Caenorhabditis elegans: one gene and its partner. The protein of the gene in region 1 interacts with the protein of each later gene in a pairwise test. Each region holds a gene or a part of one and is shown on either strand. Other genes may lie near its edges.

Evidence for each region.
Region 2: the proteins of mul-1 (region 1) and nphp-1 interact in a two-hybrid assay, tested with the Caenorhabditis elegans proteins (one large-scale study listed by BioGRID).

Annotation. Positions count from the first base shown.
Region 1 is NC_003282.8:4,120,711-4,125,251, reverse strand, and holds mul-1 (ShKT domain-containing protein), read left to right. Parts: upstream 1-2,085; 5' UTR 2,086-2,231; coding exon 2,232-2,356; intron 2,357-2,873; coding exon 2,874-2,987; intron 2,988-3,112; coding exon 3,113-3,223; intron 3,224-3,264; coding exon 3,265-3,411; intron 3,412-3,461; coding exon 3,462-3,647; intron 3,648-3,784; coding exon 3,785-3,881; 3' UTR 3,882-3,910; downstream 3,911-4,541. Other genes in the region: F49F1.7 (ShKT domain-containing protein), read left to right, coding at 75-185, 454-564, 615-893, 1,570-1,666.
Region 2 is NC_003280.10:10,648,220-10,654,248, forward strand, and holds nphp-1 (Nephrocystin-1-like protein), read right to left. Parts: upstream 4,038-6,029; 5' UTR 4,011-4,037; coding exon 3,942-4,010; intron 3,420-3,941; coding exon 3,321-3,419; intron 3,068-3,320; coding exon 2,925-3,067; intron 2,869-2,924; coding exon 2,340-2,868; intron 2,290-2,339; coding exon 2,059-2,289; intron 1,881-2,058; coding exon 1,381-1,880; intron 1,303-1,380; coding exon 1,190-1,302; intron 1,145-1,189; coding exon 909-1,144; intron 848-908; coding exon 719-847; 3' UTR 674-718; downstream 1-673. Other genes in the region: M28.10 (Flo11 domain-containing protein), read left to right, coding at 1-304; lact-3 (Beta-lactamase-related domain-containing protein), read right to left, coding at 4,360-4,545, 5,281-5,418, 5,618-5,681. UniProt on the Caenorhabditis elegans protein: Plays a role in the extension of dendrites from phasmid ciliated sensory neurons. May be necessary for initial assembly of the cilium.

The DNA of each region.
Region 1 (4,541 bases):
ACGAAACTTTTTTATAGCACTAAAACCAATAGTTTCCTTTAAATTCACAACTATAATACGTCAAAAATTTTCAGTCAGTGCCAGCTAACCTGTGGAGAATGTGCGCCTGATCCGACTACCTGCAGTGACACTAATTCGGATTGTGAGAAGTTTCACGAAATGTGTGTGATGATGCCATATAGGGAGTAAGTTTGTATATTTTTAAAAATCGATTTTCCTTGATTCAACTCTCCAACTCCGTCAAACTTTTGTCGTTCTTTTTTGGCCGTTTTTTGGGCCGTTTTTTGGGCTTTATGAGATTTTTGACCAAGCTTCGGAATGTCCCATTTTTCTGATTTTTCGGAACTTCTTTTTTTTCTTTCTTTCCACATCAGCCTCGCCGAAACCTAAGCCTTAGGCCTAAGCTGGGTTTTTTAATGCTCGAAAGCCTTCAATTTGTTAGAAAATTTCCAGACAATGCCCGAAATCCTGTGGAATATGCGATTCTCCCGCCCCAACCTGGTGCATGGATCATTGGCCGGAATGCCCAAAATATCAAGTTCCCTGCTCGGAAACTGAGAGAATGTGGGAATTATGAAGATTAAAAAACATCTGATTTATCAGAAATTTTTCAGAAAGTGCCCCAGAAGCTGTGATGCGTGCGGGAATCCGTCCACAAAGGAGGCGTCTGTGACTACAACTAATGGCCACCTGCAAATTGGGACTACAAGAAGACTACAGGCTACACAGACTACAAAGAGTACAGAGACTACAGAGACTACAGAGACTACAAAGGCTATAAAGACTACAAAGACTACAGAGACTACAAAAGCTACAAAAACTACAACTCCATCAACTACCGTCAAAACCACGACTACAAAGCCAAAACCGCCGTGCACGGATTCTTCGCCAAAGTGAGTTTCTTAAGCCTGAAAAAAGTGTTTCATATTACTGACTAGGGCTTCCATGGTAGGCAGGCGCGGTTTCAGAGCTTGACGCCTGCCTGAAATCTGCCTCATGCAGGCCTTTCTTGCATTTTGACATTTTTTCCCCATTTTTGACGGAAAGTTCACTTATGTACCAGGGGTGTGCGGCAAATTTGCCGAATTTGCCGAATTTGCCGTTTGCCGAGCTCGGCAAATTTGCCGAATTTGCCGAGCACGGCAAATTTCAAAAAAATAGATTTGCCGAATTTGCCGAGCTCGGCTAATTCTGAAATTTGCCGCACACATCAAAAATTTCACATTACAATTTTGACCAAAACTATTGATTTTTTCCCAAAAAATGTTGTAAAATGACACAATATTGAGTTATTTTAATGGTTAAGCAAACACACTACACGGAACTTATTCTGAAACCAGACGTGTGTTAAAAATTTAGTAGTTTTGGTGCATCAAAAAATATCAAATTTTTCGGAGTTAGTTAAGCACGGCAAATTTTGAGATTTGCCGCACACCCCTGTTATGTACATATAAGCATAAGGCTTGGATTCAGGCGAGAGGCAGGCGGAGGTCGCCTGAATGTCAGACAGGTAGGCGTTTTTTCAGCTATAATATTGCTATAATATCAGCTATAATATTCCATTTTCAGCTGCACAACCTGGGCGAAGAATGGCTTTTGCACCAACACCTTTTACCCACCGGAGAAACGAAAGGAGTACTGCGGAAAGATGTGCAGAATGTGCTGACTTGGAATATTTTGGACATAAATTGTTAATTTCAATGTGCTAATAAATTATTTATATGATTTTTCTGCGATAACTTCAGAAAAAAGAAAAAAAATTGAGTTTTGAGCATTTTTTTCAGAAATTTTCCGAATGGTGCAGTGGGATTTCGTCTCGGTGCAGAAAGTCACAAGTTCGACCCCCAGTTCTGGTTGAACTTTTTTTTGGAAGTTCTGGAATAAACGAAAATGACGTTCAGCTTAGTAAAGTAGCGACACAACTTTTTTTATCAGTAGGTTTATCAGTTGATTTCTAGATTTTTTGTTGATATATATTATTTCTATGCACCTGTCGTAAAATACATCTTTGCTTTCGTCCACCTTTTTGATCAGAATTATGATGATCAGGCCATTAAAATTCCTCGAAATTTGTTGATTAACATCACTTTTAAACAAATATCATCATTATTTTAATCACCATCATCATCATCTTGGTTTCTAACCCCCATCTTAACTGATAACACACTGAAACTTTTGTTATAAAACAAGGCATTACATCAAGTATTATGTACTAGATTTTCCCACAAAAAATGCACTACTACATCCTGCCTATTCTTTTTTCAATATACATTATTGCAACTTGCAATCTATGTGAAGACTCAATGATCACATGTCCGGATCTCAAGGATCAATGTGATCAGGGATTTGTGCAGAGGTTGTTACTTATTAATATCGTACAAAAATAACTTACTACCATCAACATCAATAGTATTACATTAAAAAGCATTATGTGCATAACCTATTAAAAATTATAACCTCATACTATTGCTACATATTACTACGAATTTTTTATTAATATTAAGGTTATTAACGTATGTATGTAGTAAACAATATTGAAGGTATTAACGTAATTAAGTTTATTAAACTTATTAACGTTATAATTATTATTAGAAGTACTAACAGGTTATACTAATTTGTTTTGCTTGTAATATTAACGTTTTAACGTCATTATTAGTGTTAATTTGTTCAAATGTTATCATAGTGAGGCAATAATATATATATATATATATGTGTATTTACATATGTTATTATATTTTGTAGTCAATTCACACTGTTGCATTTTATATGCTTATCGCATTGGGTGAAATAATATTTTAAAAGCTACTTCAATATTCCTTATGTTAAATTACAAAAGCGAATGTTAAACTACATGTATACAAAGGAATTTTCAGTCAATGCCCATACACTTGTGGAATATGCCATCAGGATCCAAATCAATGTACTGACACTAACTTAGATTGCTTGAAGTTTGATTCAATGTGCAAGACGGATGTGAAGTATCAGAAGTGAGTTGTATAACAATACACAAACATGCATTAAATTTACGTATCTGTTATTTTGTCAACAAAACGATCAATAGTTTTTTTATAAAGCAATGAGCATTCATAAATCAAACTACCTTTATTTCCAGACAATGCCCATACACCTGTGGAACCTGCGTACCAGCTACCCCGGACAGCTGCTTTGATCATATGATTGAGTGCCCAAATTATAGCGTTCCATGTACTGACGCTGTTAAGATGTATGTTGGAATTGTAGGACGTTCGAATTTGAAAATTTTAGACAATGCCCAAAAAGGTGTGGAGTTTGCACCTCGGGAGCCAGTAATTCGACATTAGCTCCTCCCAGACCGTCACCAACTCCACCATGTTTTGATAGTGGCAACGAATGCGCCACCTATACGCTGCCATGTGATGTGAACCAAAAGATGTCGGGGATTTATTTTGAGATTAACTATTAAATTTATAGTGAAACTTTAGATTCTGCCCACGGACCTGTGGAGTTTGTGGAAGTACTGGGGTACCTATGGCTCAAACTACGTTGCTCACTACGGTAAAGCCTACGACTACAGTAGTACCAAGTACTACAACAAAACTGCCAGCTACCACGACCAAGAAGCTTCCATCAACTACGCCAAAGCCACCATGCAAGGATTCGTCGCCAAAGTTAGTTTATAGATTGATGCTCATTTCGAAATTTCAGTTTTTCTATCTATTATTAAAACATGATAGATTGCTGCTTCAATGTTAAGCTATCATTTCTCATTTAATTACTATTTAAGTAAGTCTCTCAAAATTTCCAGCTGTGCCGGGTGGGCAAAAAACGGCTTCTGCACGAACACCTTCTATCCACCGGAGAAGAGAAAGGAGTACTGTGCAAAGACATGTAGAATGTGCTGATTTTTTGATTTAATAAATTATTTATTCTTATCAAAATGTGTATCAATGTGATGACAAAAGAGGGTGTGAAGTCGAACATGAGGAATTATGACTTCTTAACGCAAACGGCATAGTTTTAACGAAAAATGTGCTACGAGACCCCTTTGTTTCCTGGTCATGTGAGAGTTTGCCGTATCAGTAGATTTAGTAGATTTACGGGGCGTTGCGTGTCGCGTCGCGGCTCGTTTCTAGAACTAAATGAGTTTGGTGTCAAGCTGCCCCATTTCAGTATAACCTACGTAGATCTACAAGAATTGCAGGCATTTAGACGCAGACTTCTCAACTGATTTTGCATGGTTAAGAATGTGCTGACGTCACATTTCTTTGGGGAGAAAATTCCCACAATTTTTGTAGATCAAACCGTAATAGGACAACCTGACACCACGTGTGAATGTATTTGTCCGTGTGGAGTACACGACTTTTCCACTTGTTGTCCGGCAGGCGATTGTCAATGGAGCGTGAAAAATGCAAAGAGGAAGATCCCACGGTAGCACAGAAACTAGATGGGTTGGTTCATGATACTCAGTCGGGAAACCTATATTGGCTACTATCTCGAAAATCATCACAAAATCGATTTCGCGATGCATATAAGAAATGACCGCAATGAAATTATCTACATAT
Region 2 (6,029 bases), on another chromosome or scaffold:
TACCATTGCTCCATCCACAACTGCCAGCGATGTCTCCACTGTAAACCCTGTGACTGACAACGGAAGTACCGTGTCTCAAGGAACTCAGCCGACTGGTGGAAGTACTGCTGCTCCAGTGAGTACTGATGCACCAGGTTCTACTGTCTCTGGAGCAACCGATGCATCCGTTGCATCCACAGCTGGTGGAGATACTACTGCAAGTGGAGCTTCTGTGGTATCAACCGCTGCTTCTTCCGAGGCCTCTACCGCCGCACCTGAAGCTTCTTCCGCTGCCGCTACTGTAATCAGCGGCAAGCCAGTTTAGGAACTCTTAGATTTCTCAGAACCACATCCTGATCGTCAGCTCGCAGAATTTCATGATGTAATAAAACCCCTTAATGGAATAAATTCGATGAGGCTGTGATTCTGAAAAATCGCCCAATTTTATTCATTATTGCGAATAAACATATTTCATTTCAAATCCATTTTTTGAGAGGGTACAGTGTGAAAATTTACAACTGAAAAATGGCCATTGCTCAGTTTTACCACTCCTATGTTTGGGAGTCGACTCTAAATTATTCAAATATTAAACAAAAAAACCAAAAATTTCAAAACCAAAAATTTCAAAACTTGAAATTTACTGAAACAATGACTGAAACATTTCTATGCTTAGATGCTAGATGAGTAGAACTTATTACACAGTTAAATTTTTTATTGAGCTTAATTTTATCTCCATAAATTAGTCAATAGAATGATTGCCTAAAAGATCCAATGAATAATCGATAATATTGATTGGTTTGCATTGTTGATCTGCGATGAACTGCTTGAAAAGTCCCTTATTCAATGCATCCACAAATCGTTGCATAGTCTGAAATGTTACAATAATCGAAGCCTGATTTTGAAACGAGCTCCAAGAGCAGCAGCTCTACCTGTTGCCTAATCGAAAGAGTAAGATCATCTTTGACATCATACGAAATCATTCGAATCCCATGAATAAAAAACGCGGTGTGTAGAAAAGTTTGGAAGAACTCGGCAGTTTGTTCAGCTTCGTTTTTCTTGGCGAGCACTTTCTTTTTGGTTTTCCAAATTTTCAGCATTATATCCATAATGTCATGCTGGTCACAAACAAATGGGAATACAGAGAGAAGTGGGTCAGATATAAATTCTGAAATTAGTTCAAAATATTGTTTGGGTGGGTATGAAATCCTACCAGCACTCAATGGATTCCGATTGTCCCGAATTAAAATGGTTCCAGCTCGTCGGCGGTAAAAGTGGAAGAATGGTAAATAAAGAGCATTGAATACTATGACATCGGGGAGGGAGCTGGAAAAATAATTTGGGTTGAACTTAAAGTCAGGTCAGGGATCCAGATTTTCAGCTTTCTTAGTTTCCAAAACTCACTCCACATATGAAACCTTATCCTTGGGAACATCCATCACTTGAACCAGAACTCTTCTTTTCGAAGCTTCCGGCAACTTCATTTTTGTCATCACTTCATCATCCAAATACAAAACATTCGTTCTACTTGGCACTGCTTTATCATCAATTATCAGTCGCAGATATGTATGTCCCAAACTCTTTTCCTCAATTCCTATTTGTGTCTTCACCAAATGAGATGCTTCCACAACAAGTACCACTGTCGGAGATCGATAGTTTGAGCGGAGAACAAAATCAGAAAACTCGATGCAGCTTCTCGTCTGGCTCTCTTTTTTCTCAAAGTACCACGTTGAAGATTTGACACGTGGCACAAGAGTGTGCACGTTGCTCACAATTTGAGTGGATTTTGGATTTGTGATGTCGACAAGAGCCATTCTGACAAGTGCCTTGTGTTCGATTAGGGGCATCTTTTCAAATCGAACTAGACGGATAATTTTTGATATATGGACAGTTCGCTTGTAAACCTGCAAAAAATATAGTTGATTTATGAAAGTGAGCAAAAAATGTGTTGCTATGAGTAGCAAATGATTCATAGTAAAAATTTTTAAAGCAATTTTCTCAGCCGTTTTTAGGAAGACTCAGAGGTTTTTTGGCAAAACTGTAGCATTTTTTGGGTAGAAACTGCAAGTTTTAAACTTTTACCTGATCCTTGTAATGACTCCAAAAAAGATCATGAAATCCAATATTTGAAGTTGATAGTCTCGGAGCCATATGGCACACTAGTGACAAGTGAGTGTCATTGTCATATGCTTTACCAAGACAGTCATCAACTCGAGATGCCTGCCGGTTTGCTTCTCGTCTTGATGGATCAGTAGTCGTAGATATTCCGATCACCGAATCTCGAACTCCGAGGCGACTAGACACTTTTGATGGCTGAAAATTTCTACTTATTAAACTAACGATACTAGAGAAAAGTAACAAACCACATTCTTCGGCTTTTCCTTAACATGTTGTAAATAAGTCTTTGGCACAAGACCCCTCTGACCATATTCATCCAGTGCAGTCCACCAACCATCGGATCTTGTCTGTGTGATTCGATACTTCTTTCCTTTGATTAACTCCAAATCCCCTTCAGCTTCTGCATCCCAACTGTCAATTGCAACAAAAACATTGCCACGGACTACAACTGGTTCCATAACTTCTCCAGAATCTCCACGACTCGGATTCTGAAGCCTTGAGATGACTTCATCAAGTTCTTGACGTTCATTCAAAGTCTTTGATTCAAGAGGTTTTGTAATTGTGATAGGTTGTCTGGGTTTTGGTTGAGGTTGCTGGTGCTGTTGCTGTGGAGGCTGTGGCTGACTCGGAAGAGGATCATCCAGCTGAACATCCGTCTCAATAATTTCTGAATCATTATCAGAATCTTCTGATTCATCATCGTTATACATTGTGCTTTTTCGGCGGCCAATTGCAGCCATTTTCGGTTTTTCTTCTTCTGATTGAGAGTCCACACTGGAATTGAATATTTAACTATTTATTAGAGAAATTGAATTTAATTATAATTTTACCTGACAGAAAACGATAATTGCTCCTTTTCCGGGCTCAAAGCTGTCAATCTTTGCTTCAACTTGTCAAGTTGCTCTAGAGCGTTTTCTTTCTTGTAGGTCTCGTCAGTTTTGGCCTTTTCAATTCGATTTCGGTGATCGTCGAGCTGCAAACTGTATGCATATGTTGATATCCTTGAATGATACTTCTACGTAGGCACGAGAATGCCTACCTACCAGAGTGCCTACGGTCTACACATATGCCTAACAATTTTTCAATGTTTGTAAACAATTAATTGAAATTAAATAGAAAGTTGGTCGACCTAAAATCTATGAATCAAACCGGAGATCCCATAATGGGCGGTAGGTAGGCCCGTAGGCAGCCAGGCATAAGGCAGATAGAGAAAATGCAATTTTTACCTGTCTATGCAATTCCTGGCACTGTCTGACAAAATGTTTGCGAAAACTTGCTCTCGACGCGGCTTCGGTGTCTTTTTGCTCTTTTTCGAGGCGATTTATCTGAAAAAAAGGCTTTTGCTATTTTTCCTTGAAAATACGGTTTACGGTCTAGACACGACAATTTTTGTCGAATGCGAAAAGTTGTGTGCCTTTAAAGAGTACTGTAATTCCAAACTTTCGTTGCAGAGGAATTTTTTAGTTTTTTAATAGTTTTTAGATGAAAATATGTACATTAAATTTAAAAAAAATTCTGGAATTTTGAATTACAGTACTCTTTAAAGACGCACACCTTTCCGCATTTAACAAAAATCTGTTGTGACGAGACTCAGTTTTAATTATACGTTTGAAATTTAATTAAAACGTTGAAAATGCGCCCCACTGCAACTTTTTGGGTATTGAAGGGATTTTTTTAGTTGGAAATGAACAATAAACCACGAATTCAATTTTTAGTTATTTAATAATGTGTAATGGAAAAATTAAAAAATTCACAATAATAATTTTTAAATAAATTACAAAAAAATCCAAAAATTGAAAAAAATCGAATTCCTTTTCAAATTCGTGTTAACAATTAATATTCCCCACCTGATATTCAAACTGCGGAAATCGATTTATGGCATCCTGCAGACTTAGAATGCTTCCAAATATGGACATCCTGCTTTCCTCTCCCCCTGGAAAGCTCTTTTCCGCGCGGCCACTTGCCTTAAGCCACCCTCGTTGCCCCTGGCAACTTGCGGGTTACCACCTGCCAGCTCCCCGCAAATGTGGTTAAAAACTGGTGAACTGATGGTTTATTAGTAAGGAAATCGAGAGAGAGCAGATAAATATGCAATTTTGTGGGGTCACTCGGTCAGTTAATTACGGGGGAAGAAGCTTCAACATTGAGAGAACGACACTTGGAATGAATGAATTAAAAACGGACTGTACAAAGAACACGCGGGATGATTTGGGATATATCTTAAAACTATATGGAATCACTAATTAAAAAATGAAATAAAATAAATTATGATTGAATATTAATTTGTTCGATGACATCATATACAGAAGTCTGAAGTCCCCAGTACGTCCTGCACAAGTCGTAGAGTCCCGTTTTCAACCCATTTGTGACGTAGGCAATTGTCACTCGATTCTTGAGATCTGTGATGACCATTTGGCATCCGTGCCCGGTATGTCCGAAGCCGAATTGAGTCTGAAAATATGGCGAATTATGAAAGAAAAATATTAAAAAAATTCACTGAAAATTAAATAAAAAAACGCTCCTAACATTTTGCAGGTTCTTTAGCTAAATTTAGGGTTTTAAATATTTTTTCTATGCATTTTCATTTTTTGAATGAATTCGAAATTAATGGTTTTTCAACAATTTCTCCTGTTTTTTCGTTTTCTGTTCACCACCTGGGCTCTTTTTTTTTGGTCCTTTGCTAATTTTTTGGGGGTTTCAAAATTTTTTTTTTTTTGCTTTTTTCGGCAGTTGTAATTTTATTACAAAAATGGATTTTTCAGTCTTTTTTAATGCAAAAATTAATTTTTGGCTGTTTATGTTTTATGTTTATTTATTTAATTTATTTTTAATTTTGTTAATTTTTGTTATTTTTGTTAATTTTTGTTAATTTTTGTTAATTTATGTTTATTTAGCAAAAAGGTACTTTTCGGGTTTTTTTGAGAAAAATTGATTTTTTTGAATTTTTTATGGGAAAAAGGACAGTGGTTTTTTTTTTCGCAAAAATGGATTTTTTAAAAGTTTTTTTTGGCAAAAATTAAAAAATCTGCTTTATTGGATGAATTTTGACTTTTTCGTTCTTTAAGAGTTTTTTCAGACTTTTGTTGGTTTTTTTGGTTTTTTTATTGTGAAAATGGATTTTTTAAAATTTTTCAGTTCAAAATTTCCATCATCCCTCGTCCCTCTTTCGATTATTCAAAATCTCACCCCAGCTCTATGAATGGGCAAATGGAAAAATCCGTGTCCCTTGGCGACAGTATCATCAAAAATGAAATCACTCTCGTTGACGAACGGTTTGCTTATCGTGTTCAGTGTAGCCTGATTGAGAAGTTTTCCTCGATTTACCTGAAACAATCCTCTTAACTATCGTTTTTGTTTCAGTTTTTTTAAACAGTCACAAGGAAATTTCCTTTTTCTTTTTTTTTGTTCGACTTAAAAATTTCTTTTCTTCGCTATCAGCCTAGTTTCAGCTGATAACGATGTTCAAACAAAACGAAAAAAAACTTAAAATTCTCATAAATTTATCAAAAAAACGAGAACAAACCTTGTCAAAAAGTGAGGCAAGAGAACGAGCATTTCCCATTCCAAGTGCGGCAGCTTGCTCCAATCTGGAAAAAAAACATGAATTTTAAAAAATGAAATAGCATAAAATATTGGTCAGATGCGAGATTTTGTCTCAAAACTATGACAATAGGTCTCGAAGCGACTTTTAAGGAGTACGGCAGTTTCTGAATTCTCATTTTAAAACATTTCATTTATTTTTTTATACTTTCACATGCAACATCGTAAAAAATCCAAAAAGAAGCGAGGATTTGGAAACTACAGTAATCCTTAAATTTTGGCATTGGAGAAAATCGGCCGCTTCGAGACCTGGTAGTGTATTTTTTGGGGGAAAATAGCAAAGTTTCGGATCTGGGTAACAGAATTTTTTGCGTAAATATACAAAAATTTGCTCG